2 linked regions of the Struthio camelus genome follow. The protein of the gene in region 1 interacts with the protein of each later gene in a pairwise test. Links are inferred from orthologs where the notes say so. Each region holds a gene or a part of one and is shown on either strand. Other genes may lie near its edges.

Region 1 (14,258 bases):
GGCGGTTCTTGCGGATGCCCCACAGACGTGCCACCTGCGCCGAGTCCTCGATCTTGAAGATGCCTGCGAGGGGAGCGAGGAGGGGACGGGAACCTGGGGGTTACAGCCGAGCCCTCCTCCCCGTCGCCACCAAGGCGGGCGCCGCCGGAGCACCCACCTTTCTCCTTGTTGAGCCAGCGGATGAAGCGCCCGTAGTTGTGGGGTTTCAGCAGGAGCTCCTTGAGGAACTGCCAGAGGTGGATGGGCTGCCCGGCACAGGACGAGTCCACCTCGCTGTCCGCCCAGCCGGCGTCACCCCCTGGGCAGGGAGGGACGGAGACGGGCTGAGGATGGGCTGGAGAGGGGACCTGGCCGCTCTGCCCCGCGCCGGGAGCCCGTGGCCGTGGCGCTGCGTGGCTCCCCGTGCGGGAAACCCCGGCTCGATGCCTGCAGGTCTCCGGGGGACTCAGCCCAGGGATCCAAAATTCAGCTAGGACACCCGGGGCTGACAGGGGCCCATGAGGGTCTCACGGCTGTTCCCCCTTTGGCTGCACCACGTGGGCAGCCAGCCCAGGGCTTGCTTTTTGGGCAGAAGGGAGTGCAAACACACGGATGCCAGCGCAGCAGCAACTCCGCCAACGCAATGGAGAATTGCAATTAAGTGAGGAGCGACCTCCCCAGCACCCCAGAGCAGTCGTGGAGGGACCAGCCAGCAGGGCTCCCCACCTGGCTGGCAAGGCTGAGCCCATGCAAAACTCACCGCAGTATCGCCCGTCGCCCGGGGCGGCTTTCTCCTTCATCCAGGCAGCTGGAAGGGAAAAGCTCCTGGTCAGGGAGGGCATGTGCCGGCCGGGCGTGCAGCATCGCCCGCGTCCCCGCCGGGCCCCGGCACCCACCAGATTTCCAGATGTCGAGGTGAGCGTGCAGGACGTCGCCGCACACCGGCGAGCGCTGGCAGAACTGCTCCTCGGACATGGCGCACAGGTCCTTGCCCGACAGCTCCTGGAAGGACTTCCCGATCTGCGGCAGCCGGTACTGGTGCTCCGTCCACAGGATCCACTTCTGCACGTTGCCGGGGCTCCAGTCAGCCGGGTCTGCAGGGAGACGGGCGCCCGCCGCCGGCCGGTGAGCACTGACCCCCCCCACCCCCCCCCCAAGCAAAGTCCAGGCAAACTCAGCTCACCCCACAGCTCCCACTGTCCCGGCCAAACTGCCCTGCAGCGGTATCAGCCACAAGGATACCCCAGAGAGCCGGGACGGGGACCCCGGGTCCCCCCTCGCTGGCCGGCTCAGCCCAGCAAGCAGCCAAGCGCTGCCGGCGGGGAGCAAACGCCCCGCGGCGCCCGGCCGGTGGCGGCACGACCTTGCTCTCCTCCGCGGTGGCATTTTTCCTCCACCTGTCAAAGTCCCTTTTGTTCCCGGCCTCGGCGCTGGCAGCACCCATCCGAGCACCTGGCGGCTCCGGGGAACGGCCCCGGGGGCCGCGGCAGCCGCTCCGCCTGCTCCCGTCCGGCTCCCTCCAAGGGGCTGCGAGCGCGGCCCCAAAACCCGCTGCCGGCTCTGACGGGGCTGATCGGGCCCTATCCAGCCTTTCGAAGTCCCGCTCGCTCCCCGCAAGCCCCCAGGTCGTGTCCAAGCCTTGCGGGAGCGGGGCGGACGACAGAGCCCGCGTCAACCCGAGCGCGTCCGGGGACCCCGGGGCTGCAGCGATGCCCGCGCGGGGTGAAAGCGAGACAGAGGGAAGGAGAAAAAAGTCCCAGCGGGCGCCGCCTGCTCCTCGCTACCGTTCACCCTCCACGAGACGCTGAAACGCATCCCGGTACCGCGGCCTGGGGAAGGGAAGGGACCGCCGGCGGGGACAGACGGGGCATCGGGTCCGCGTGTCCCGGCGCCTGCCCTCCCCGCCTCTGCACCATCCGGTTCCCCGAGCTCCGCAGAGGGGTCTGCTGAAAGGTTTGCCACCCCCCGTGGGCGGAGGGCTGCTCCGGGGGCCTGCCGGGGAGAGATGCCTGCCGGGAGCCCCCCGGGTGCCGGGGCCACCCACCTGCGGCGATGTTGAGGAGCTTGCAGGCCGTCTCGATGTCCTTCAGCACCTCGCCCACCACCATGCTCTGCACCTGCTCCAGCGAGTGCTCCTCCAGGTGCAGGCTGCCCTGGAAGTCCAGCTCGGCGCCCAGCCCCAGGCCCTGGCTGTCGATGATGGGGCACTGCTCCGGCTCCTTCGGCACCTCGCCTCGGCCCGCCTGGGCGCTGCCTTGCGACGGCTCCCCCGGGCCCTTGCACGCCCAGGCTGCCTCCTCCGAGTAGAGCATGTCGAAGTAGTGGAGGCAGAAAGCGGGCAGGCTCTGCTCGGGGGTGGCCGGCGGGCTGGGGCTGCCGGTGCTCGCCCAGCCGCGGGCGCCGGGCTGCCGTGCCGGCGGCAGCAGGGCCGCGTCCTGCAGGGTGCCGCCGCGGCCGGCCGGCGGGGCGGCCAGCCCGGGCCCGGCGCTGCCCATGCCGCTGCTCAGCGCTGGCTCCGAGCCTGCCGGGAGAGGAGAGAGCGGGATCGCCGGCGCGCCCGGCCCCGCCACCGATGCCGCCCGGCGGCAGGCACAAAGGCAGGCAGCTAAGCCTGTTAGAGGGGGGGAGAAAAACCCTCCCAAGAGCCCCCCGGCGCCCTGCGGGACCCCGGATGAAAGCAGGCTCAGGAGCCCGGCGCGGCGCGGGGCGGCCGCCCTGCTTCTGGGTCAGCGGGCGGCGCGCGGGGCTCTGCCGCCGCCGGCTTTTCGGGCCGGACCACGAATTGCAAAGCGGCTCTGCAGCGCTCCCGTGCCGACCAGGCCTGGAGGCGCTTGCAAGGAGGCGGCGGGAGACGCCGGAGGGTCTCCGAAGCGCCTGAGCAGGGCCGGTTAAATGGTGCACCTGAGCCACGCGGGCAGGTTTCCGCGCGTGGAAACATGACCCAACGCCCTCAACCCAGCTCCAAGGGTGCCCCAAACCCGGCTCTCCCGGGCCAGGGGACCGAGCTCGGCGCCGGGCCCCCCGCAGCGCCCGCCTCCCGGCCGCCCGCTGCAGACCCCCGCGGTGGCAACTGTCTCTTTACTCTCTTGCAAGACCCGAGCGCCCCGGATTAGCCGGCGGGCATCCGCCTGGCGGACGCGGGGAGCCCCGAGACGAGGATGAGCCTGCCGAATTGCCGTGGCAACGCTGGGAACCGTCTCCATCGACGGAGGAAGCTCCCGGCCGGGCAGCCGGGGGCCTCGGGAAGGACAAGGCGCCTGCGAGCGGAGCGGCTGCCGAAGGGCACGGCGGCGGCCGGGGCGCCGCTGCCGTCCCAGCCCTCCTCGCCTGCCTCCAGCTCTTCTGTCGTGGTTTTTTTTCACAAGGAGGAAAAAAACCCACCCGCGTGATTTGGCGCTTCCCAAAAGCAGAGGGAGCATCCCGGCCACCGCTCCAGCCTTGGCGACGGAGCGGCCGCCGGGCTCGTTCCCTCTTTGCTCCAAATCCCAGCAAGGGAAAGGAAGGTTTCAATAACGCAGGGGAAAAACGCGTCATCGGGTTCGTCAGGGCGAACGGAGCGGATGCCGGGAGCCGCGCGGAGCCGCCTGGCTCGGCACGGCCCTGCGCCAGGGAGCCGCTGCCGCGCACGGAGACGCCCCGGCCCAGCCCCGCAGACCGGGGGCCATCCCAGGCGCCAGCCACCGAGCGCACGGGGCCGTTTCGGTGGCACCGCAAAGGCTGGAGCGAGCAGGAGGAGGAGGAGGAGGAGGGAGGAAGGGGGTCAGGGCTCCACGGAGGTACCCAGCACCTCCCCACCGGCCCGTTTCCCTGAGAGATGGCGCCCGCTTCCAAACCTCCGCTTTATTCGCTCTGGATTAAACGGAGAGCTTTAGCAGATCAGCCCTAAATCCAGCCTCACGCTGCTCCCGGCACAAAAGGGAAGCGGCGACAGCTTGCGCCGCTCCGGCCGCCTGCTCCGGAGGGGGACGGGCTGCCACGCGCCGGGCCGAGCCGAGCCGAAGCCTGCGGGACGCGCCGGGCGCCGCGGGCGCTGCCTGCCCCTCCGCCGGGACGCCCCGGGGCAGAGCGGCTCGGCGCTCCCCGCTCGCGCCCGCTGCCGCCCCGGCGCTGCCCGGTGCTCCGGCCGCCTTTCCGGGCGCCGCGGGGCGGCACAGCCCGGGCGCCCTCCGGCCGAGCCGCGCGGCGCTCGCAGGGCGAGGGCCTCTGTTTGCCTTTCCCCGGCGCTGGCACGCAGGCGGCCGCCGCGCGGCCCCGGCTCCGCCGCCTGGGTGGGGACGTGTTTGCTCTCGGAAGCCGCTTTGGGCAAGAAGACGACCCGCCGGAGCGGCGGCGGCATCGCTCCCGCGTCCCCGCGCGAGGATGCTCGGGGCGAGCCGAGCCCCCCGCGCCGCCGCCGCCGCAGCCGCGGGAGCTCGGCGCCGGCAGCTCTGCCCCGGCGAAGCAGCGCCCGCCGGCTCGGCCTGCCCCTGCGGGCGGGAGAGGAAGCGATTAGGGAATTAGCTCTTGCCACGCTTTAAACAAACAACTGCCACCGACTTGGACGAGGCGCCGGGCCCCAGGGCTTCGGAGGCTTTCGCTTCCCGCGGCGGCCGCCCGGAGGCCCGGCTGGCGGGAGCGGCGCCCGGAGGGGCCCGGCCGCACGGGCAAAAGGCTCCGTGCAAAAAAAACAAGCGGGATGTTTCTCCGGGCTGCCCGGCTTCGCCGCTTTTGGGCCCGCGGGAAAGCCCACATCAGCAAACGCGGTGCGGGACGGGGACGAGGGACGTGCCGCCGCCGCCAGCTCTCCCCGCAGGCTCCGGCGGCCGGTGCCGTAGCGGCCCGGTACCGCGGGACGGAGGCGAGGCAGCCGACGCGTCCCCTCCGCGTGCGGTGCCACCGGGGTTGGCAGAGCAGCGGTCGCCCGGCCCCGGCCAGCTCCGACGCCGGCTCCCCGCGCGGTTTGCTTGCCCTGGTTCTCCAAGCCACTGCAAAGGCAAAAACAAGTCAACAGGTTCCCTTGGAGCAAGAAGCTTCTGCCCCAGACCGGAGCGCGGGAAGCGGCAGATTTCGTGGCCGACCGCAACGAGAGCCGCACGGCAGCACCCACATCCACCCAGCACCGCGTCTCTGGGGTCGCCTGGTGCAACAAGGGGGACGGCGGAGCCGGGCGGCAGAGCAGCAGGACGGGTCTCGGGAGACGTCCCCGTTTCCAGCCCCGGGAGGATGAGGAGGGCGGCGAGGTCGGTTGCCCCGGCACTACCTGCCCCGCTGCCTGAGCACAGCCTGCACCAGCGACTCCAGAGAAAGCAACCGAAAAAAAAAAAAAATCCAACCAAGCACCCTCAAACAATGGGCCCGTTAATTAAAATTAAATCTGCGGTTAAACAGGTTGTGCTGGAGCACAGCTCGGGAAGCCCGGGGGGGACGGCCCAGACCCGCGGAGGTTGGCCCGGGGCGGTGGGAGGAGGCGCTGCCCAGCAGAGCTCCCAAATCCCGGGGCGCTTTCCCAGACCCCCGGCGCGGGAGCCCAACGCGAGCCGGGGCGGCAGGAGGCCGCGGGCGCTGCGGCCGCAGGACGGGGGGCGCGAGGGGCCCAGGGGCTCCTCTGCCCCTGGCCGGAGTGTGTTTTTCATCGGAAAACATGAACTGGCTGCATCTCCCACGTTTGCAGCCCCACGGGGCACACGGGCTCTCTGCAGCTCCTACCGTGGCCCTGTGAGGCCCGGGGGGCCACAATCAGCCCCCAAACCCACCGCAGACCCCCAGGAGGGCTCTTGCAAGCCGATACCCTGGGGACGGCAGAGGACGGGGGTCTCGCGGGGGACCCCACTGTGCCTAGCGATCCCCTCCCTGCCCAACAGCCCTTTTGGGTGCAGGGTTTGGGGTTTGCTCCTTCTCCCTTGGGTCTGGTCCCACTTGGCACCTCTTTCCCCGCAGTGCAACGGGTGCCTGCTCCCAGGCTTTTTGGGGTCGGGGTGGGAGCTCGGGGCTCTGGGCTGCTGCTCGGGGGGGCTGGAGATGTGGAGGACCCGGGGGTCTCGCTATAGGGCCCTGCACGGCGACAGGGTTGGGAGCGCAGAGCCCCCGGCAGCACAACCCCCCCAGGATAGATGGATGGACGGACGGACGGACGCAGCCTTGCACCGGGGGTCTGGACCCGCCTCGGGGGCTGCTCCGTGCCGGCTCCCAGCCCTCCTCCGCCGTGCCACCGGCACCCTGGAGGGTCCCGCCGCCCTCCGCCTCCTCCCGCCGCTACCTGCATGGGGGCCGGGCGGGCGCCCCGGGTCGGGCTGCCCTCTGCGTCCGGCGGCGAGGCGAGGAGCGGAGCCGCCGGCCTCGGCGCCTCGCCGGCGCGCAGCGGAGCTTGCCGTTCCCCATGCCAGCCCGGCCGCCCCTCTTTATAGCGCCGGCTCCCTGCCCCTGCCAGCTCCCGGCCCCGCGGAGCCTCCTGCCCATGAGAAAGGCCGTATTGTGGGGGATTTGGCAGCCGAGCGGCATTTGTGTTTCACTAACCGAGCAGAACCATAAAAATCCAACCTGGAGCCAATTTGCCTTTGGCACCGGGGGGGGGGGGGGCGGGGGGGGGGGAAGCACAGCGGCTCTACGAGGCTGCAGCTCCGCTAAAAGGGTTAAAAGCCCTTGGCAGAGACGCCCCCCGCGCTGCCGGCTCCCCGAAGGCAGCGCCGACCCACGGCCGCTGCCTCCCCGCCGCGGCGCCCGTCGGCCTTCGGCTGGCGCGGGAGGCGGCGGGGCCGGCGGGGCTCCCGGAGGGGCAGCGCCGCGGGCAGGACCCCGGCGCCGCGGCCCCCCGCTCCGCCTCCCCACCTCTAGCAGCGGCGGGAGGGGGGGGCGGTTTGCAAGGGTCGGGGTCGGGGTTGGCGAACGCCGCTTCATCCGGGCCGACGCCGTCGCAAGAAGCGCGAGAAACCTCCCGCCGGCAGGTACCCTCGCCCCGGCGCGAGCCGGGCAGGGACGAGCCGCCGCTGGGCACGGCGACCCCGCGTCCGGAGCGGGCAGAGGGGCCAACGGGGGCCCGGGGCTTACCTCGACGGTGCGCGCCCGGCTCAGAAAGCACCCGGCTGCCGGCGGCCGGCGGCGAGAGCCGTGCGCGGGGCGCCCGGCGCGGCGGTCGGGGCGGGCATGGCCCCGGCGGGGCTGCCCCGGGGCGCCCGGCGCGGGGACGGGGGGCGGCCAGCGGCGCTCAGCCCCGGCCCGACGGCGGCAGGGCGGCCGGGCCGCGCCGCATCGGCTCTCGGGGGGCTGCGAGGGCCGCGCGGGGCCGGGCTCAGCGGCCGGGCATGGGTGTCGCGGTACGCCAGGGGGAAGCCGGCCGCCGAGCCGGGAATGCAAAACGCTCAGCGAATGCCTCCTGTGCCCATTATATCTAATTCCTTCCTTATTTACCTGAACAAACAAGCTGTGTGCTTACCTCAGCTGGAGGTGTTTGAATATCCCAAGCGGGGCTTAACCCTTGAGGGGTGCGTCGAGCGCGCCGGGCTCAGCGGGACCGACCCGGGCACCGTTAACCCCTTCCCAACCTCGGCCCGCGCCGGCCGCTCCGCCGGGCTCTGCGACGCAGAGGACCTGCTCCCCCGCCGCCGGCGGCTCGCGCGCACAAAATAACTCGCTCCAGCGCCGGCCGGGCCGGGTGCAAATCAGCGAGAGGCAGGCGAGGGCAACGGTGCAGGACCCGCGGCGGAGGCGGCGAGCGCCAAGCCGGGGATGCTCCAGCCTCCTGAGGATGCTGCACGGGGCCCGGCGCGCGCCGGGAGACCCTCGCGCCGCTCTCCGGCAGCGCCGCGGTGCAGAGACGCGGCACCCTCCTCCCCGGCGGGGCCGGAGCGCTTTGCGGGAAGGGCTGCTGCGCCCCGGAGCCGGCGCGGGGCGTTCAAGGCCTGGTGCGTCTTCACCGGCACGAGCTGGAAAAAGCTGTTTTGACCGAGACAGACACCGAGTTGGTATTTATTGTCTTTTGAACACGGCAGGAACGCCTCGCAGCTCAGTCCGTTCTCCCACGGACAGCTCGGGAAAAACCCAACTCTCCCACGGCCCCCAAAACCCCACGGTTTTGAGAAGGCGTCAGGCAAAACCCAGCCCAACCCTGGCCGTAAATACCCGCGGCGCGAGGCGGCCCCGGGCCTCTCGGCCGCCCCGGCTGCCAGGGACGGCTCGCACCCGGGCCGAGCGGTGCCTGCGCCGCCCGCTCTCCCCCCGGCGCCGCTCAGCCCGGCTCCACGTCCTCGCCGCCGGCCCTGCGCTGCTTGCTGGGAGGAAGGGGAGGGGGGAGAAAAAAAATAAAACCCCCTAAAAAGGCGACCCGGGCACGACCGCCTCCCCGGGCCGCGGCGGCGCGTTAGCAGAGGGCACCGCGGGGCTTTGCCGCCCGCTTGCCCGCGCCAGGAGTTTCTGCCTCCCTTTCGAAACGCCTCAATGTTATCTTATCGGCGGGGAAAATGTTCTCCCCAGACTACGGCTCTCGCCATTCGAGGGCAGCTTCGCTCCCGTCTGTTTTGGTAAATACAGCCGGACCCGTAACACGTGGCGGCTGCCGGGAAGGAGACGTGGGCTGGGCGGGCAAGGCGCGTCTCGCTCCGGAGCCCACTGCCCCCGCCGGCTCCGGGTTGCTCTAGCTGCTGAGCTCCGGCGGCGGAGCTGGGGCCCCTTGGGAAGCCTCCGCTCACAGCGGGTTCTTCCAAGGCGTTAAGGAAAAACGGCTCAATCTCACGGCCGCTGCTTTGGTCGGTGCTAAGCCCAGCTGCAGGCGCTCCTCCACGGCATCCCGCCACGCTTAACCCGCTCATCCGCCTGCGTTAGACATTGCAACGCCGCAACCGCGTTGCTCCTGGTGTCCTAAGCGACAAATCCCATTAGCTCTTCCCTCAAAACCGTGCCTCCTCCAGGTCTCTCGCAGGGACACGCTCCGGCGAGGGTCGAGCGCCAGCTCCACGTCGCTGACCCCGCCGCCTTGGAGGAAAGTTTGCAGAGCGGTTTGCACGGGCTGTGCAAGCTGAATTCGTGCCTCCTCGCCGTGACATCACCCGCAGGTCTCCCTCTCTTATTAGGTTTAATTACCACTCGTTACCAGAGCAAACAGCAACACGGCAACGGGGAGAAGAGCGTGGTCTGGGTGCAGCAGACAAAGAGGCAGGAGCAGGATGCCCAGGTCCAAGGGAGCCGCTGGAGGCGCCTGGCCCCGCGTCCCTGCTCAGGAGCATCCTGAGCACCGGCCCCCCCAGCCTGTCTGGGATCCCTCGATCAGCTCAAAAGATCACGTCTGGGTCTGAAAATGTTTTCCCTGCTCCTGTTATCAGTAGCCCCGGAGATTTTGATAAGCAACAAATTAAAAGGAAAAACGTTTGCCTGGCTTTCCAAGGCGTTTGCTTTGCAGGTCTGGGAGAGCTGGCCAGCTTGGCGGCGGAGACGTAGAGCAAGGAAAACACAGAAAACCCCCAAAATTGGCAAAGGGGACCTGGGGCTAATGTCAGGCCTGGCCTGAAACCACGTCGATCCCATTTGCAGATGGGCTAGTGCATGACCCAGGCAGAGGTGCCACGCGGGGCTCCCCGCGGGCCGGGCTCCGGCCCTGGAGCTGGCGGGATGCAGCCAAGGTGACAAGGGCGCCCCGGTGTCCCTGCACACGTGTGCCTCAGGCAACAGCCTGGGAAGAGCATTACAGCAGCCAGCACCTGGATAAGGCGATTCCTGACACTTTCAGCCAAAGCCGAGAGCGTTTGCCACTTGGCGGATGGAGAAACCCAAATCCCTCCAAAGCGAGGTGACACACGGCCGGGCGCTTTCGTGGGCCGAGCCCGGCGCTGCCCACCCGCAGGCCTGCCGGAGCTGCTCCCACTTCCTTCCCACAAGCAGGTTTGGCGGCTCCAGACGCTCGGTGCAACGGGCTGGCGGTCGTGGTGCGTTCGAGCCTCCCACCTTTCGCAATCCCGGCGGGGTCACAACTGCTATTCAAAGCAGCTCTGGTTACATATGCAAAACAGGAAAAGAATAGGTTGCAACACCTGAGGAACAATAGAAGAGGGGAAATAAAGTCTGGCTTCTCTGCCGTGTGTGTGCGCAGTTTTATGTGCTTTTCCTTGTCCTTTCTGCCAACTGCTCGCCTGCAATTCCGGTGCCTTTGCCGCTGCTTCACCTTCAGCGCTCGGCGAGCCGGCCGGAGGGGAAAGTTGGAGAAACTGCTTGTGATTCAGGCTGGAAGAATCTCCCTGCCCACCCACCTGCGGCTAATCTCTGGCTCTATCACAAGAATAACAGATAAGCAGCCATATAATATATGGACATAATAAAATTATCGAAGGGATTTGATGTCATCGCAGAAACCACAGACACGGTCGAGCCCCAGCGGTTTGTCACCAGAGCCGAACGGCGTTTCCTGGTCTTCGGCCGCGGCGGGGTTTCTCCTGCTTCACCTGCCAGCCCGCCCGGGGTTTGGTGGTGACAGCGGTCCCCGGGCAAAGCAAACCGGCCCGCTCGGGTGCCCTGCGCCCTGCATCGCCCGCGCCGCTGCTGCCCTCGTTGCCGGGCTCGGCAGGGGTGATGTCCAGAGAGGAGACGAACCCCCGTTTGCAGGCTGCAGCGTGGGTTTTCTCGTGCTTTAACCGCAACCAAAGGGGAATGGCTTCAAACCCACCAGAAATAACCAGGGGAAAATTGCCAGGGGGCAGGGAAACCCGGGCGAGCGTGGTGCGCCGCGAGGGAGAGCCCGGAGATCCCGGGGCCGAAGTGCCGGGACGGGTCCTGCCGGGAACCGGCTGCCGCTCGCTCCCCTCCTGCCGCCCGTAATCTTAATTGCTCTTCACTGGATGTTTGCTAACACCGGCACGTTTCCTCCCAGCCTGCACCAAGAGGGTTTATCACTGCCGCTCTTGTGTTATGTCAAGCGAAGGCATATATGGAAGGTCAGAGCCCGGAGCGCTCCCGGCGATCCTAGAAAGGAGTCGGCGACGGCAGACACGGGAGCGCAGCAAGGACGGAGGGAGCAGCGGGTAAAGGGACGGTGGCTGCAGGTCTCACCAGCCGCCTGCAAGCCCTTCCTGGCTCCCTCTTGCCCCCAAAGGGCAGCAGGCTTAGCAGAAGATGGGAATATCGGCCCCGTTTCCCATCCCAGCTCCCAGCCGGTTTGCATCCCCCGTTCCCTGCCCATCCTCAAATCCCCTCGCCTCCTTGCGGCTCACCCTTCGAACCGCCCGTCCCGCTTTCCAGGGAGACGCGCCGGGCAGGCCGGCCTTTGCACACAAAGCTTTGGAGACGCTCCGGCAAGAGGCGCCGGCGCGGAGCGGCATGGCCGAGACGGGGCCCGTCCCCGCTGCCTCGCGGCGCCGCCCCGTCCCGCGCGCCGGTGATCCACGGCGGCGGCCCCGGCCGGCAGCGGAGCCGCACTGGGGTCCCCGTGCCGCCGAGCGGGAGCGAGCTCGGCTGCCTTCGGAGCGCAGCTGGGAGGGAAAACCGAGGTTTTTCCACCCTGAGCGTAACCAAAGGGCCAACGAGGGCGAGAGAAGCGACTTGCGGCTGCGCGTTCACCACCCTGCACGCTTTTTATTCCCCGAGGAGCATCAGCAGGACCGCACACCTCAAACCGGCCCGGCGGCGCCAGCGCGGGGACCAACCGAAGCCCCTTAAAGCCCTCCCTCCCCTCAGCCAAAAACGCCCGTTTCCCAAAGGGCGCCGGCGCGAGGAGCCGCTCCCGTTTATTGCCTCCCTCGCCCGGCCTCCCCGTCTCCCAGATGCTGCCATAAAGGCGGTTTAGCGGGCGGCGGGGGGACGCGCGGGCAGGGGGGGCCGCTCGGAGCGCCGGCGGGGGGCTGCCAGCTCAGAGGCCGGGTGACGCAGGCGGGCGCGGGGAGGGCGCAGGGATGCACCTGCCTGTTTGCTGTTCCTTCGTTAATACCCTGCTCTTTTCTTCCTCCGGTCGCTTTAAACTCCGGCTTTTGTCTCTCGGGATTAAGCCTGGAAACGGCTGCGGGTGGCCCAGCGGTGCCAGGAAGAGACGGCTCGCGGCAGCCCGGCCCCGCCGGACCCTGGCGCGGGGTCGGGGGTGGGATGCCGAGAGCCGGCGGCTCCGCCGCGGCCCGGGGCCGAGAGGCAAAAGGCAGGAGGGAGCGGGGACCCCCGCGGCGGGCAGCCGGGCGCCCGCCTTCGCCCCGCGCCCTTCCCAGGCGCACGCGGGCGGCCAGGTGAGACCGGCAGGGCCCCGTGCCAGCACCGGCGCGGAGCCGAGCGCCGGCAAACCCTCCGGCTCCTGGCTTTCCCACAGTGGCTGCCACTAAAAAATACAAATTTGTTCCCGGCCTCGTCTTCTGCACAAAATCACCCGGGTTTTAAGCCCAAACACTTGGAGAGGGAGATGCTCCGAACCGGCGCGGAGGGCGAAACCTCCCTGCTCAGCGGAAGCTCAACCCCGTGCCGCTCCGGGGCCCAGAGACACCAGCCGAGCTCTCCTCGGGCTTCCCAACTGCAGGCGGCCCCCAAACGCCTCCGTCGACCTGCCGCTCGGGCGCTCGCACCGGACCTGGCGCCGGGGCGACGGCCTAGGGCGGCTCGGGCAGCAGCGAGCCGAGGTTTCTGGCTCCCGCCGAAGCCAGCGGGCGCGCAGCGGCGCCCGCGCAGCAGCCCCGTCCCGCCACCGGCCGCTCGCCTTCCTGGCGACCCCGGCCCCGGCGGGATGGGCGTTTGCGGATGCCCCATAAAACCTTTCCCTGGTAGGATGAAACGAAACTTTCTGTTATTCAGCGGCTGCTTGGCAGCTCGGCGGGTGCTGAGCAAACAGAGCCCCCTCCCGCCCGCGCCACGGGGGCAGCTCATCCCGGCGAGCTGCCGGCCGGAGCAGCCGACGCGCGTCGGCTCTACGGCGACCCGCTCCCGGCGGCGGCATCGGCACCACCACCCTTCACCCGCGGCGGGGTTGGGGGGGGAAGAGCTCCTTTAGCAGTTTCCATTTGTTTGCTCTTTAAATAATTGTTTTATCGTATTTATTTAGATCGCTTTAAAACTCTGACAAACCTGCTTCTCGGGCAGCGCTGCCTGCTTCCTGCCGGCCCTGCTCCGAGCGCTGCCTTCGGGCAAGGCCAGGGCTGGGGAGCTGCGGCGGCCGCTGCCTCCGGCCGGCTCGGCTCCGGGCGAAGCTCCGGCGCCTGGGGGACGAGAGGTCCCCCCGGCTCGGGGAGGCCCCGGGCGAAGCTCCGGCGCCCGGGGGACGAGAGGTCCCCCCGGCTCGGGGAGGCCCCGGGCGAAGCTCCGGCACCCGGGGGACGAGAGGTCCCCCCGGCTCGGGGAGGCCCCGGGCGAAGCGCGGCGCCCGGGGGACGAGAGGTCCCCCCGGCTCGGGGAGGCCCCGGGCGAAGCTCCGGCGCCCGGGGGACGAGAGGTCCCCCCGGCTCGGGGAGGCCCCGGGCGAAGCTCCGGCGTCCGGGGGACGAGAGGTCCCCCCGGCTCGGGGAGGCCCCGGGCAAAGCTCCGGCACCCGGGGGACGAGAGGTCCCCCCGGCTCGGGGAGGCCCCGGGCGAAGCTCCGGCACCCGGGGGACGAGAGGTCCCCCCGGCTCGGGGAGGCCCCGGGCGAAGCTCCGGCGCCCGGGGGACGAGAGGTCCCCCCGGCTCGGGGAGGCCCCGGGCGAAGCTCCGGCGCCCGGGGGACGAGAGGTCCCCCCGGCTCGGGGAGGCTCCGGGCGAAGCGTGGCACCCGGGGGACGAGAGGTCCCCCCGGCTCGGGGAGGCCCCGGGAGAAGCACGGCGCCCGGGGGACGAGAGGTCCCCCCGGCTCGGGGAGGCCCCGGGCGAAGCGTGGCGCCCGGGGGACGAGAGGTCCCCCCGGCTCGGGGAGGCCCCGGGCAAAGCTCCGGCACCCGGGGGACGAGAGGTCCCCCCGGCTCGGGGAGGCCCCGGGCGAAGCGCGGCGCCCGGGGGACGAGAGGTCCCCCCGGCTCGGGGAGGCCCCGGGCGAAGCGCGGCGCCCGGGGGACGAGAGGTCCCCCCGGCTCGGGGAGGCCCCGGGCGAAGCTCCGGCACCCGGGGGACGAGAGGTCCCCCCGGCTCGGGGAGGCCCCGGGCGAAGCGCGGCACCCGGGGGACGAGAGGTCCCCCCGGCTCGGGGAGGCCCCGGCAAAGCACGGCACCCGGGGGACGAGAGGTCCCCCCGGCTCGGGGAGGCCCCGGCAAAGCACGGCGCCCTCCGCTCACCCACCCGTCTCCCAGGGCCGGAGCTGAGCAAAGCGGGACGGTCCCGAGCCGCCTGAGGAGAGCTGGGTCCTCGTCGCCCCACCGCGCGCAGGAAGCCTGCCGCTGCCCGG
Region 2 (14,818 bases), on another chromosome or scaffold:
TTTCATTAAGCCGCATGTTTACCTTGGAGGACAAGATGCAGCGCACAGAGCGAAAGGTTTTCCGGCCCCACCTTAACCTGTTATCTCATTCTGCCACGATTGTCCACAAAGGGAATAAAAACATTTGTATTTAAGCCTCGAGATTTAATTCCCTTTATAACAGACAGGGCACCTGGTTGTAGAGCGGCCAAGCGCTTTGCGCCGGCGTACATCTTGCTGGTCGAAAAGGCCAGTCCCCCCTTTCACCCACCGCCGCCGGGGTTTTTGCACGTGCCGGAGGTTTTGGAGGGCCGAGCTGCTGCCCGGCAGAGCCAGGGCCGCCCCAGGGCTGCTCTAGCGCCAGGGCGGCCCGCGCGGCGCGGTTCGCCAGGCCTCCGGGCGCCCTTCCGCAGCGGGCGCTACGCTGGGCGCGTCGGCGCCCTGCTCTGCCCCCAGCGAATCCTGCGAACCGCCGGCTTTGGGGGCACGGCGGAATCGGGGCGAAACGGGGACGCCGGGGACGCCGCGTGCCCGGCGCGGTGGGGTTTTTTTGGGGGGGGGGATCCTTGTCCCCACGCGAACACGTGACAGCGGGGGCTCGCCAGCGGTGCCTGGCGCGAAGGGGCCGAGGAGGAGGAGGAGGAGGAGGAGGAGGAGGGCGGCTGGGCCCGTGCGGAGCGCCGCGCGGGAACCGCGCGCGAGCCGGTCCCCACACCTGCGGTTTTCCCCACGTTCCCCAAAGCCACCCGCTTTTTTCCCCTTCCCCTTCCCCCTGCGGCCGAAGGCGGTGGGGAAAATCCGCCGGGACGATCGCACCGCTCGGCTTCCCCCAGCGCAAAGCAGCCGGGGACGGCGGCCGGGCCCAGCGAAGGGAGCGGGCGATGCCGTCCGGCGGTGCTGCGGCCGGCTTGGCGAGAGATGCGGCGCCGAGGAGAGCACCCAGGGTAAGAACGGTCTCCGGCTGGGGTGCCGCCGCTGCCGGACCCCGCGCGGCCGCCCGCGCGCTGCTCCGGCTCGCCAAGGCCGGGCAGGGCAAGCGGGAGATTTTTCTTGGCGCCGGTCCCGCGCGCCGTTGCCAGCTACGCGGTTTAGCGCATGCAAATGTTAGTCAACAGCCACGTTATCCAAAGGCAGCCCTTTTCCCTCGCTTCAAATAAACGCTTTGGCACAAGCAAGCGTAAATGTTATGTCAGCGTGAGACGCTATTCAGTCTTGATGGATACGCCGGCGGCGGAGCGTGACGCTGATTGACGGACGTCAAACGCTGCTTTCTGCCTCCGGCCGCGGGCAAACAGGAGGTGTGCTTCGTTAAGGCGGATTAAAACTCCGCGGCCCCGCCGTCAGGGTGGGATCGCTCGTCTCGGCGTTAATCAAGGGCCGGCCGCTGCCATGAACGCACTCGCGCCCGCGCCTGCATCATGCGGTCAGCAGAGCGTTACGGCCCCCATCTTTTTTTTTTTTTTGTCCTCGTGCTTTGTGTTTCGGGCTGGGGGGGGGGAAAGAAAATCAGCCGGAAGTCTCTGTTCTCGCCGGGGAGAAAACGCTTGGGGATGGAGGGGAAAAGGGCTGCGGAGGAGCGGAGGGACCGGCCCGGCGGCCGGGTTTTGGGGGGGGCCACCTCGGCGCAGCAGGACGGCCCACGCTTCGCCATCGCGGTGCCCGGCTCGGTCGGGCGGCGGATTCGGCTTAAATACGGCAGTAAGGAAAAAAAAAAAAAAAAAAAAACCTGCTGAGGGTAAAAGCGGTTATTTCGGCTCGCTCTCCCGGCCCTGCAAAGCCGCCGCTGGCAGGAGCGGAGGCGAGGGGGTTGCGGCGGGGGGAGAGCGGCCGGCCGGCCGGCCTCAAGGTCGCTCCCGTCCCGTCCCTGCCCCGGCCGCGGCCGTCCTCGCCCTCGCCAAGCGGCAGAGCCAGAGCAGCCCCGCAGCCCGATTTGACGGGTTTTGCTCGGTTCTTGTCGAGGCGCCGACTCCGCTAGGGGCTGCAAGCAGCGCTTCTGCCACCCCGGCCGGCCCCCGCGCTCAGGACGTGCCCAGCGTACTTACTTATCTTCTTCCTCACAAGTATCCAAATCCCCTAAAGGAGTAACAAAATATATGGGGACAAGATTAACACAGAAAATCCAGAGCAGAAAAATCCAGCCCCGGAGCAGAGACCCCGCGGAGGCGGCTCGCTTCTGCGCTCCTTGTTCCGAAGGACATCGCGTGAAACAGTATCAAAAAATACAGGCAAAACCAGCGACCGAGGGCGCTGGCCTTGGCAGCAGAAGGAAGTACGAGCAGTTTGGTGCTGAAGCAGCAAGAAGGGTATTTTATTGGTCCTAAACCCCGAATGGGAATTAAAAAAAAAAAAAAATCATAGGGGGAAACAAAACAAAAAAAAAAGCAGCAGCAGCAGCCACGACACAAACATTTCCCCAGCGAACCGTCCGAGAAGTTCACCGTACGTCCGTCTCCTTTTCCCGGCCGCGGAAGAGCGGGCTCTCCCCGGCGGCGTGGAGCAGACGGCCGCCGCACCGGGGGCCGCCCGGGCGGGCAGGAGGCGTTTTCTGCGGATACCGGCGGTTACCTGCCGGCAGCCGGACGGCGAGCGCTTGCTCCCCGCTCGGCGAGGCGCTTCTGCAGCCGCCGGGCGGAAAGGCTGCTCCCCGGCGAGCGCCAGGGGCCCCGGTGACCCCAGCAGTTTCTGCCCCTACCCTGATCGCTGGGGATTTTGCTTTTCATCCTCCTTCTGGGAGAGCGGGCGCCGCGGGAAGAAACGCCCCGGGCACCTTCGCTGCCGCCGGCGGGCGCCCTTCCTCCATCGGGTTCTGCGCTTTTTCTCCTAGACTTAGCAGCATCTCGTGTTTTAAAGCGCGATGAGCTACCGAAGCCGTCTCTGCCACCCGCCCGAGTAATTGCCTCACTTAAAAAGTCGCCGGTGCAAGACTTTGCCTGCTGCTGCTGGCAGGCCGGAGGGCCGGGGAGCACCGGGCTCCGCCGGCCGCTCTCACCCCCGCCGCCGCCGCGCTGGCTGCTGCCAAAGCCGCCCGGCGCGCCGAGCTCTTTGCGCTTGGGCTGCTTGAAAGAGCGCGGATGTAAAAAACCCGCCGACCGGCGTCAGCAGCCGGATATGCAAAGCTCATCCGTCACCGCGCTCTTGTCGCCGCTCCCGGCCGCCGGCCCGGGCTCCCCGAGGTGCCCGGAGCTCCGGGGCCGGGTCTGCCCGGCCGGCGCCGCTCTCCATCCCCCCGGGCAGCAACGACGCTCTCCGTGGGAGAAACGCAACGGCGGTCGTTTGGTTTCCTTTTTTTTTTTTTTTTTTCCTCCAGTCGCTTGTGGGTTTTTACGAGCTGCAGGGCTCCGGCGTCGCGGGCGGCGTGGCCGTGCCTCGCCTGCTGCCCCCAAGCAGCCGGCACCAGCCCCTAGCCGCAGCCCCGCCGCGGAGCAGCGCTATTCGGTGTGCCGAATTAGATGCTTTGGAAGGCTTGGGCTTTTTTTTTTTTTTTTTTTTTTGCAATTTTTGGGGGGTTTTGCTTTTTTTTTGCATTTTTCTTGCTCTTTTTTTGCCTTTTTTTGCTTTTTTTTTTTTTTTGCGTTTTATAACCCCGGACGGTTGGTGGTGAGAAAGGCTCGCATGGCAGCTAGGCGCCGAGCGTTGCTGTGAACCAAGTCAGAAGCGCCTTTTTCCCACCCCCCACCCCCATCCCCAATTAGTATGAGAAAAAGCAACACAGCATTAAAAAAAAAAAAACTGTTTAAGAGGCAAGGGGGCCGCGCTCACCACCAGGAGGGACTGCAGGCGCTCAGGTAGGAGAGGCAGGGGAGGTAGCGGCAGGCGCCGGCGAGGGGCAGCGGGCCGGCCGGCGGCTTGGCCAGTCCGCGCAGCTCGGCCGCCAGCTCTTTCCTCTTGGTTTTGTACCTCCTGTTCTGGAACCAGATCTTCACCTGGGTCTCGGTGAGCTGCAGGTGCCGGGCCAGGTGGGCGCGCTCCGGGGCCGACAGGTACTTCTGGTGGCTGAATTTCCGCTCCAGCTCGACGACCTGGCTGTGGGAGAAGGCGGCGCGGGAGCGCTTCTGCTGCCGGGGGGTCCGCGGAGGGCAGCGCGGGGCGCCCGGCGGGCTCTCGCGCTCCGACGCGCAGGGCTCCTCCGCCGCCGCCGCTGCCCAGCAAAGAGGTGAGAATTACCCTCTGCAAGTTGCCCAAATTACTCTTCCTCCCCCCTCCAAAAGCACAAAATATTCATATTGCCACTTTTTAGTTAGTGGAGCAGTGCATTAAGTTGCCTAAGGTTTTTTTCTTTTTTTCCCCCTAATATCATAGATTCTTAATTCATATAAGTAAATATTTAGTGGGGGAAAAAAAGAAAAACGCAGTGAGGGGCATTTTGCCACGCGGGTGAGGCCCGCCTGACGCTCCCAGGTACTGTTACGGCATTGGCGGCTCTGGGGGTTTTGCTGCAGAGCTCGCGATGCCGGGCACTTCTTTGCAAAGTCCCCTCGCCTGTGCCTACGGGAAGATCCCGGCCTCCACAAAAAAGTATGTTCCTCTCCTTAAACTCTAGCTCAGAAACGTAAAATCAGTGCAGCTTAAACCCGCCTGCAATTAGAAAGCACTGAAAGCGACTCCCCTCTTCCCTCTTGTTCCCGACCGCGCGGCAATGCCAGGAAGTTTTGGGGCGCTGTCTCGAGGCTTTCTAAATCTTCAGGACCGGCTTGACTGCATCGTACGCAGCCGCAGAGCTGGACTCGGACCACAGCCGGAGTGCCAAAGCAGCAGCCCGGGATTTGCCTCGGGCTTGTTTCCCGCGGCATCGCTCAGTCACTCGAGCTGTGATCCGGGAAGGTGCTGAGCGCACACAGCTCGCGCAGAGCGCCGCAGAGCTAGTGGCTCACCTCCATTTCTCAGCTGTGGGCTCTTTTTACCAAAAAACCATAGCCTGAAAGATGCCTTGGAGGATCAAAAATACAAGTGGACGTGTTCTTCCTGCCCCTGGGAAGTGTCACCTGCAACTATCAAAACTTTTTAAGTCAATTTATTTATGGAGTTAGTTCCTGTTGGTGTATTACTCAGCTTGCTATGGAAATAGGCCAAGTTCTTCTTTGGTTATTTCTTAGTATATTTTCTTAAGATGTGAACATAATGCCTAAGATAGAAACAATGGGCTTAATTCCCAGCTTGTGTAAATCATCCCAGTCCCGCTGAAATCCCCAGAGCGGTGCTGCTCGGCACCAGCTCCATTCTGCAAGAGCTGGTTTGGGGGCTTAATGATTTTTCTTAATAACCAGCCTGGTGAATGTTTCCGAATTTGCTCTGTGCAGCAGCTTCTTTTAATAGCATCGAAACGCAAAGCCAAAATTCCCCTGGCAAGGTCTCCGCTAGCGAGCGCGAGGCGGTCGCTGGAGAGCTCAGCGTTGCTTTTGGCCGTCCAAGCCCAGCACCCGGCCCGCTCGCCCGGGGCGCTGCAGGACGGGAAACGCCGATCCCCTGCCCGGGGCTCCCTCTGCCCTTGGGCTCTTGGTGCGCCAGAGGCACCATTCAACAAATTGCTTCTGCATGTGATTTTTTTCGGTATGTGAGTTCTGCAGCGAAATGTTATTCTGACCAGTGAATTTAGCGGGTCAATGCTAGAAAGATTAATAAAAACGCCAGAGCGGCTTCGTGTCAGTGACGGGCAGGGACACGGCGAGGTGCAGGGTGCTGGGAGCGGTGCTGAGCCCCCAGGAAAGCAGCCCCACGGCAAAGGGCATAAATGCAACACGGAGAACTTCAAAGCGTGGCTGCACCGGAGGCATCGCACGCCCGCTGCGGCTGCATCGCCGCGCCGAAGGCGGCGTAAAAGCTGAGGCACAAGCTACGTCTTTGACGGGGGCGGGGGGGGTCTGAATTAAAAGGGAACTAAGTTCCGCCAAGATCGCACAGAAATCCTTCGAGCGGGCTTTTTCCAGCAGAGTTTTAGGCAGCATCGGTACCGGGCGCTACTGGAAGAGCCTGGCTAAAGCTACGCGCCCGGCTGCTCTTCCTCTGAGTTTCCCACGGTGGAAGCGGGGATGGTCTTTGATGCCCAGGTTGCTTTCCCGCAGCTAAAGCACGGATATCCTCGAACGCCCCGGTAGTCTGGCTCCGGGGCTCGGTGCTGGGCGCAGCTGGGATCCTGCCCCGACGCTACGCCCCTCCGGCGAGCTGCGCGCCGCCGACGCTGGCTCGCGGCCCGGCCGAGGCTGCTGCCCTTACCTGCGTGGGGCTGGCGGGGCGGCGACGCTGCCTCGGGTCGAGGGCTCAGGCCGGGGTCCCCGGCGGCACCCCCGGGAGCCGAGCGGCGCTCGCGGCCCTCGGCCGCCCCCGGCTCCCCCAGCCCTCGGCCGCCGGCACCGCCGCGGCCCTGGCTCTCGTCCAGCTCCCGCCGCTCGGCTCCGTCCCGCAGGATGTCTTGGATGAGGAAGGATGTCAGAGGCCTGGAGAGGACGGGCATGGTCTGCCGGCCCCGCGTGGGGCTCGGCCCCGCTGCCGGCTGCCGCCGGGCCGGGTTGGGGTCCCCGGGGTGCCGCTGGCCTCCCACCGCCTCGGCACTGCCGGGGGCTCCCGGCCTCCCTGGAGGCAGCACCCCGGCGCTCATCCTCCTCTTCCTCCTCCTCCTCCTCGCCCTGCCCGGAGCGCTCTGGCCGCCCGCCCGCCCGGCGCCGCGTTTATACAGCCGGCAGCCAAGCCTCCCGGGCCTGATTGGAGATCCCGGCGGGAGCCTACGCCCTGCGCCGCCGGCTCGGCTCCCGGGAGCTCTCCCGCTGCCCGGGATGCTGCGGCCGGCCCCGCAGCGCGGCGCATCCCAGCCACCGCCGCCGCCTCCCGATCCCCCCGGAGCTTTCGCGCTCCCGGCGCCGGCGGTTGGAATAACCCTGAGCCGCTGCCTCCTTCCCGGCAGCCGGAGCATCGCTGCGGACGGGGTTTTGGGGCGCCGGGGCGGCGTTCCCGTCCCGGGACGATGCCGTCCTCCAGCCCGGGCCGGCCGCGCGCTGCCTGCTCCCAGCTGGGGAGGTGCTGCGTGTCCTCCGGGCCGGCCCTAGAGCTCCGTGGGAATGCTGAGTTTTAAGAGGGTTAAAAAAAAAAAAAAAAAGAGGAAAAAGCTTCTTCTTATCTAGGTTTTGAGGGTTTCCTTCCAAAACTTTCACTTTGAACTTTCAGTTTGTTTAAAAAAGGAGAAAAAGATGTTAAAGACCCCCTCATCTATCTTTGTGAAGGGGCTTCAGGATGCGGATTAAGGCACGATGGAGCGGGAGAGCAGATCGGAGGCAGAGGTCTCGCTCGCTTGCACAGGAAGGGGCCCCCGGCGGCGTTAGCATGAAAAATTAAGCATAATTTTAGCGCGAGACCTCAGCCACCTGTAGCCTGGGACAGCGTTTGCGTAAGAAGCCGCGGCCCCGGCGAGGCCCCGGGCTCCAGGGCGCCCAGCGGGACGGGGACGGCCGGACCGCGCCGCCCCGGTCGCCCCCTCTGTGTCGCGCCTGCCCCTTCCTCAGCACCCGCGCTCTACGTGCCGTCGATGCGTCAGACTCCTAGAGTTTCTGTTTTCACGACAAATTCCCCTTCTGCACGTAAAATCCCTAGCCACATCCGCAAACGTGTCCAGCACGTGATTTTTTAAAAAAAAAAAAATCACGGCAAAGCGAGGCCAAGCGAGCCGGGGGGGGACGCCCCCGGGCAGAGCAGGATTTGGCCCTGGGACCGTGTCCCCCGGGAAGCGCGTTCGCTCGCGGCAGCACCCCCTGGGCCCCGTAGGCGACGTTGGCAGGCATCCTTACCTGTGTCGCAGCGGAGCTGACAGCCAGCCGGCGAGCGCCGGCAAAGCAAGGAGCGAGACCCTCCGAAGCCCACCGGCTGCCTTGCAAAGAGGGCCAGAAGACACAACCTGCACCAGGAGCTGCAGCGAAGTCAGCCATGCTTCAGGGCTCACGGGCAGGACCGTGCGGCCGATGCCCCCGTGCCTTGCGGGCGCAGCGCTGCGCGAGCTCTGTGCCTCATTTCGGAGCCGGCTACTTCTGTCCCCTTGCTCAGCTCCGTCCTTTCGTGCCGTCACCGTTGCTGTTTCAACCTCTGAGAGGACGAAGGTTGCAATAGGTGCAGTAGGGGCGTTTGGTTGTTTCCCAGGTGCCGCAGACGTTAGGAGCTCGGTGCACGCTCCCCCGCTGCGCGCCGGAGCACTTGGGCTTTTAGGCAGCCGCACAAGCGTGTGAGCAGAAGACGTAGCTGGAGGGTTTCTGTGCCTGCAGCTGGGCTGTTTGCCCCTCTCCAGGGGCATCGGGGTATCGCGGGGCTGCTCTGCTACACCGCGGCTTTGCAGCGACAGCTTTGCCGTAGCTCTTAGCGCCGCTCCTATCCGCCTGCTCGACCCCTCGCGCCTGGCTGCACGGCACTTTTTCGGCCAGGCCCGTTTTCGCCCCGTTGCAGCCCTCGGTGTGAGCAGTAGCAGGCGTCCGGGACGGGCTCTGGCGGCCGGCCGTGGCCAGGGATGCTGCGCTTGCAGCCCCTTGCTGCAACACCCCTCCGCGGCCGTTTCTCGCCTCGTGCAAGCCCCCTGCGGCTGGCCACGCAAAGGTTGGCCGGTTTGGGGGGGGGAGGCGTGTTTGGGACAGATCTTCCCGGTTTTGTAGTGGCTGGCAGAGTGGGTAATTTCTAATGTGGGCAGAATAATTTCTTATTTTCCAGCACAAGCCTGGAGCCTCTTGCTCTTGCCTCGTTTTGCTGTCGAACCTCAACGCAAAAAAACCCGGGCGTGCTCGGCGCTGTTAAACTCGCGCTTCAGCCCCGGTGCTGGAAATGCTGCTGGCTGCGCTGGCTCTCCCTTGGCGTCCGCGGCGGGGGCGCGAGCAGGTTTCTCTCCTTTGGTTTGGATGTCAGGTACGGCCCGTCGGGGAAGCGAGCGAAAGCTGGAGTGATGGGGCCGTGTGCGGTAAAACCTCAGTGGCCTCCTGCCAGCCTCTCCTGGAGGGTAAGAAGGCGGCAGGAAGAGAGGGGGACGAGGAAGGAGGCAGCGGCTCCTCAGCGTGTCCTGCTTCTGCAAGGCGCGATGGGCTGCAGCAGCTCCGATTCGCCCTGTGCAGGCCAAAGTCCTTGGGAAATGCAGCCCCTCGTGGCCAAGCTCTCAAAATAGCCTTAACAGGGTAGTTGAGCAAGTGTAACTCACGGATTCATCCCGCTTGTGCAGGGTATCGGCTGTGCTCCCCTTTGATGCCTCCTGCAGCGCCCGCTAACGCCGGCAGCTGCAGGTGCTCTGAGAGAGGCCTCACAAACTCGTGGCAGGAGAAGCGGCCTGTAGGACCGTGCCTGCCCTGCTGCTCTCACGGCGAGGCTGGAAGCGTCGGGGTTTAGTAACAGTGACGCTGCTGGGATCCTAGTTCCTGCCTGGGCGTTGTGATGGGCAGGAAAAGTAATCATTCGAGCAGTGGGTTTTTCCTTTCAAAAAGCATATGAACTAATAAAAAAAAAAAAAGAAAGGTAAGGCAAAGCCCACGCTGCGACGGGAAGAGTCGCCTGAAAAAATTCTCTGCAAAACAATCGAAACGGCAAGGGTGGCTCTCTGGAGCGCGTCTCCCGTTCCCCGGCCCCGACGCCAGCGCAGAAGTCGGGGTTGTGAAGCCCCAGCCCTCGCCCCGTGCAAGGCCATGCGGCTCTTCAGCATTACACGTACAAGGGTGTGTGCATATGTGTGCGTATGTGTGTGTGTACAGAATGTATATGTATTCCTTTTACCCATCAAAAGGCTTGATGCCTATAGAGCCAGATGCGGATCTGGGGCACCCAGATCAGCTGTTAAGCAGATATTGAGCTGTTTTACCAATAAGGAAATAGCAACCGGGACCTTAAAAGACTTGCCAGGGTTTAGAGAGGGGGGAACTCACCAACAGAGGTTAAACTTTGGGAGCTGCAGTGCTTGGACCGCTGGGCAATATCCTTTCTGGGTCATTTGTTAGTGTTCAGATGGATTTCCGTGTTGGCTTTGGATCAGATTCTGGCACTCAGATGCAAATTGTGGCTGGGAAAAGTCAAAACCTTAGGTTTTGAAGAGCGATGAGAGAGGGAAAACGCACATTTTCACCAATTTTTTTTTTTTAATTGTAAATAGTAATAATAATATCAACAAAAATGAAAATCGGTGCTGGGAAGATATTAAGAAATATAAATCAGAAATATATCTCAGAAGATTAAAGAGAAACTCTAAGCATTAAATACAGTGTTCATTAAAAAAGCAAAGGCACAGTGATGCGCACAGACCCTGTTTTCCGGTCGCCTTAGAAGAAGAGCAGCTTTCCCAGCGCTGCCCGCTGGCGTCCCCAAGGAGCAAACCCCGGTGGGAGCGGGAAGGGCCAGGCTCCGGGCCCGTTGTCCTCAAATAAATAAGCACCTGCGGTCGTTCGGTCCCCAAAGCCGCAGTGAGGAAGGCGAGCGGCCCGCTCTCCCGACCCGCCGTGGCCCGGCGGGGACACGCAGGGCACGTCCGACCGCCCCGGGTGGCAGAAACCCCCGGAGGCCCCGGACTGCTCCCCTCCCGGGGAAAGCCGTGCCGCGGCGGCTCCCGCGGCGCCATCCTGGCTCCCGCGGCCGCTTACCAAGCCCTGATCCCCGCTTGCACCACGGCTTGCAAGTGCGGGGGCTGGTTTGGGGCTGCGCTGGCCACCCCAAAGCTCGTGTTGGCGACGCGGCTGGCGGGAGCCGTGTCGGTGGGTGCCGGCAGCCCCCCGGCGTAGCCGTAGTTAGCGCCGTAGGGGCTGCAGCTATAGGTGCTGTAGTAGGTGCTGTAGGCGTAAGGGCCGGCGGCCACGCTGTACGGGGCCGAGTAAGGCGGGGAGCCCCCCAGGCAGGGTTTGCCGTCCCGGACCAGCACCGGCACGGCCACCCTCCGCGGCGGCGGCGGCGGCTGGGCAGCCAGCTCCAGGGACTTATCCTGCCTTTGCCTCTTGCACTTGTAGCGCCTGTTCTGGAACCAGATTTTCACCTGCGTGGAGGTGAGTTGGAGCAGGCTGGCGAGGTGTTCCCTTTCCGGAGCGGAGAGGTATTTCTGCTGCTTAAACAGCCTTTCCAGTTCAAACACCTGAGCTTGGGAAAACAAAACCCTGGGTTTTCTGCGCTGCCGCTGCTTGGGAGGGTTGCAGGGGTCGGCTTTGGTGTCGTGTGCCTCGAAGGAGCGGGAGATCACACAATTTCCTGCAGTGAGAAAAACCCAAAGCAAAATGAGACCCGACCCCGGTCCTGTTCCCAGGGAAGGTGAGTTTTTGGAGAAGGAATCAAATGGGGAACGGGGCCCCTCGGGAATAAGATGAAGGAGCATATCCATTTGCCGAATTTAATATGAGCATTCATATGAAGTTCAATGGAAAGTCAAGAAAATCCCCCCCCCCTTTTTGGATGGAATTAGAAGCCTAGCTGTCGCGTGAATTTTAGCCAAAGCTTCATTGTGGTCATTCCTAAGGGTGTCGGTGCTGCTGTGGGTGCCACAGCCGTGGCAGCTCCAGCCCAGAGGGGCGCAGGAGGAGCAGGATACGCTGTGGCCGCAGGTTTGAGCACCCCCCCGCCCAAGCACAAATCCCCATCCCGGTCCCTCTGCCCTGGAGCAGGTGGAAGTGGTTGCAAGGGGTCCTCGGGCAGGATTTTCCTCTAGCGCCCGAGGGAAGGGGAATCTGGCAGCTCTTTGCTAGAGCAACGAAGGGGCTGCGAATGAATGAGGGAAATTGTTAGATCGGCGAGAAGAGGCAAAGTCGGGTTATTTTTCGTTTTTGTTTCGTCTCGGTTGGGGTTTCACGCGGGCTGCTCTCCCTTTCGGCCGGCCGCGCTCCCCCTCGGCCGCCCTGGCCCCCCGTGCCTGGGCTCAGGCTCTGCTTCCCGGCCCTTCCCCGGTCTGTGTGCTCCGCGGGGCGAGCGCAGGATCCGCGCCCGGCCCCGGCCAGCGGGCGGCTCCCGCGGCGCGTCCCGGTGCCGGCGGCCGAAGACACGGTGAGGGGCGCCGGGCAGCGACCGTCGCCGTAGGGCGCTGAGACCCCCCGGCGGGGCTGCGGCGGCGACAAATTTGCGCAGCATCGAATTAGGGCTTTTGCGGCACCCAAAGCGCGGGCGGTTTTTCGGCTTTGGCCGACGGTCTGCGCGGGGGGCGAGGGGCAAACGCTCGTCCGAGAGGGGAGGCGCCAGCCCGCCAGCAGGTCTCGTTGCTAACCGAAAATAGCCTATTCTTATGTTACGGTTTAGTTCGGCGCTCGTTAGGGCGAGGTGGCAATCGGGAGCTTGCGGTGCTGCAAACGAAGGGACGGGACGTCCCGGCTGCGGCGCGCTGGGCGCAGCAGGGCAGGATGCGGCGGGCCGCTCGGAGGGCGGCGGGTAACACGCCCGCAACGAAATACCGCCCTGGGAAACGGGCCGGAGGAGGGAAAACGACATTTCCCACCGCGAACTGCGGGAAAATAACCTCCGTCGAGAGGCGACAGGCTCCGCCGCCCGCCCGCCGCCCCGCGCGGAAACTGCGCTCGCTTCTGCTCCCGGCGCGCAGGGGCGGGCGGCGGCCGCGCTGCCCCTGCCCGGCCCCGCCGCGGCTCCGCGGGCGCCGGGAGCCCCCGGGAGCCCGGCGGCGTTTGGCCCCGGGGCCGGGGGGCTGCGGGCCGCTCCCTGCCCCTCCCGGCTCACTTACGCGGCTGCGGCTCTTCGTCGCCGCCGCCGCTCCGCGCATCCCCGGCGGCGGCAGCGGGGCCCGGGGCGGCGCGGAGCCCCCCGACGGGGTCCGGCCGCTCCAGGCTGAGGATGTCCTTGACGGAGAAAGGGGTGGGCAGCATGGTCCGCGCCGGGGCTGCGCGCACCGGGGCCGCTCCCCGCCTCTGCCCGGCCTCCTGCCGCCCGGCAGGCGCCACCCCCGGCCCCGCCGCCGCGCCCGGGGGGCGGCAGCCCGGGGGGGGGGGGTCCCGGGGCGGGGGGGAGCGGCCGTGCGCCGCCCCGGGGCTGCGGGCTCCGCCGGGCCGGGAGGCAGCCAGCCCCCTCGGCCCGCCGCCTCCGTATTGCCAAAACAAGGGGAAGCGCCGGGGCCGGGGCCGGGGGGGCGGTGGATTCGGGCTAAGCCGCAATAAAACACATCGTGTCGATTTTAGCCTCCATTAAGGTCACATTAGCGAGCGGCGAGGGGAGATAAGGGCTGATAAGGCGCCGACCACCTAGCTGCGACGGGGGCCCCCACCAGCGCCGCTCCGGGGCTGCCGCCGCCGCGGGCCGGGGGAGCCGGGGGCACCCGGAGAGCCAGGGGGAGCCGGGGAATCGGGGGAGCTGGGGAGCGGGGGGAGCCGGGGAGCCGGGAGACCCTGGGAACTGGGGGAGCTGGGGGAGCCGGGGGAGCGAGGGAGTCAAGGAGCCGGGGGGGCCCTCGATGGCGGCCGCCTGCCACGGGGCCCCGCCGGCCTTATCGGGGCGCAGCGAGCGGCTCCGGCCATTAAAATTCCTGGCTGGCCTCGGCGGGGGGGTGTTTGCTGATAGCCATGACAGAGCGCAGCGAGTTTTTGTCTGGGTTGGGTCGGTATCTCCCACACCACCAACAGAGCCGAACTGGACTGTTAGGGGAGGCTGAATAAATAAACTACCCCAAGGCAGGCAAGGAAATGAGGGGCTGAAACGGGAGGGAAAATAAATACGCTGGCTGGGGGAGAAAAGTGTTCTCGGTCCATCCTTATTTCTGCTTAACGCATGGGTTTATTCCCACCCTCTGTGTCCTGTGTTGTTGGTATTGCAGGTGTTGATGCCTGCGGGATATCTGTGCCAATGCGCTGGCATCACGGCGTGCAAACCATGACCAGTCACATTATTAGCAGCCCTGCGACCACCATCCGCGTGAAGAGCTCACGCTGGGCCCAGAGATGCCGTCTCCGGGCTGGCAGCGCCGTGCTCCCGCGGGGCCCGGCAGAGCCCGGCCGGGAGCCCCCAGGCACCGGGAAGGCCGCGGTGTTCCTGAGGCTGCCGCAGCACGGTGCGGCACGACCACGCAGGCCGTTTTTAAGCAAAACAGGGCGAAACGGCGTGCCAGAGGAGAGCAGGCGATGGGGAGGCTTCTGCCAGGCGCCGTTGCCACCTCCCCGTCCCTGAGGCCTGTGCCCCCTCCGGAGCCCGGTGTGGGGCTGGCGCCCTCGGGACAGGCGCTGCCTCCGGCCCTGCTGGGAGGCACTGGCCAGCCCTGGCCGCTTCTTCCCCAGCTGGACTCATTGCCACCTCTGCATGGCTTGTTTGGGCCTCAAAACACCAAAAGGCGAGGGCAAACGGGCAGTAACGTTACACCTCAGCTCACTGGTGGCAGGAGGCAGCCGGCGCCAAGGTGAAATGCTTGGCTGCAACCGAGATGAGCCGGAAGGACTCGGGATAAGCAGCTTTATCCCCCCCCCCCCCCCCAATGACGCTGCGCCGCAGAGATTGATGGAGACGCCAGAGTTCACCTGAGCGAGGGCCGGACGGTCCAGCTGGGGGAGAGGAAAGTAAAGCGGAGCTTAGCAGGCTGGAGGGGCTGGATTAGTCCCGGTCACCTCAGCATCCCCCAGGAAGATCCCACCTGGCGCAGGTGGCCGTGGCCTCACCTGGCTGGGCCCAGTTTGGGGCAGAAAGGGCCCTTTCTGCTCCCCGTGCTGGGGCGGTGGGTTCCGGCGCCGCTCAGCGCCCGCGCGGAGCCCAGATGGCTTCTGGCTCAGCAGCAGGCTTGGGTCAAACTCGTACGTCATCTCAGCAGCATCTGCCCAGCTGACAGCTCGGCGGCCGCGCTGGTTCTTGTGCCCTCGGCTCGGGCCCGGCCGAGCTCCCACGCCCGTGAATCTCAGAGGAGCGCGGCAGCTCGCGCCCGCCGCACAGCACGCCCCGTTTC

What was found.
Region 2: the proteins of SPDEF (region 1) and NKX3-1 interact in a two-hybrid assay, tested with the Homo sapiens proteins (2 studies listed by BioGRID). The link is inferred for Struthio camelus from reciprocal best matches to the Homo sapiens genes SPDEF and NKX3-1.

The regions. Positions count from the first base shown.
Region 1 is NC_090965.1:5,527,344-5,541,601, reverse strand, and holds the start of SPDEF (SAM pointed domain-containing Ets transcription factor), read right to left. Parts: upstream 7,073-14,258; 5' UTR 7,003-7,072; intron 2,501-7,002; 5' UTR 2,475-2,500; coding exon 2,024-2,474; intron 1,074-2,023; coding exon 876-1,073; intron 788-875; coding exon 740-787; intron 299-739; coding exon 158-298; intron 64-157; coding exon 1-63. UniProt on the Homo sapiens protein: May function as an androgen-independent transactivator of the prostate-specific antigen (PSA) promoter. Binds to 5'-GGAT-3' DNA sequences. May play a role in the regulation of the prostate gland and/or prostate cancer development.
Region 2 is NC_090968.1:5,034,316-5,049,133, reverse strand, and holds NKX3-1 (homeobox protein Nkx-3.1), read right to left. Parts: upstream 6,599-14,818; 5' UTR 6,572-6,598; coding exon 6,190-6,571; intron 4,118-6,189; coding exon 3,735-4,117; 3' UTR 2,259-3,734; downstream 1-2,258. Other genes in the region: NKX2-6 (homeobox protein Nkx-2.6), read right to left, coding at 10,553-11,151, 12,623-12,764.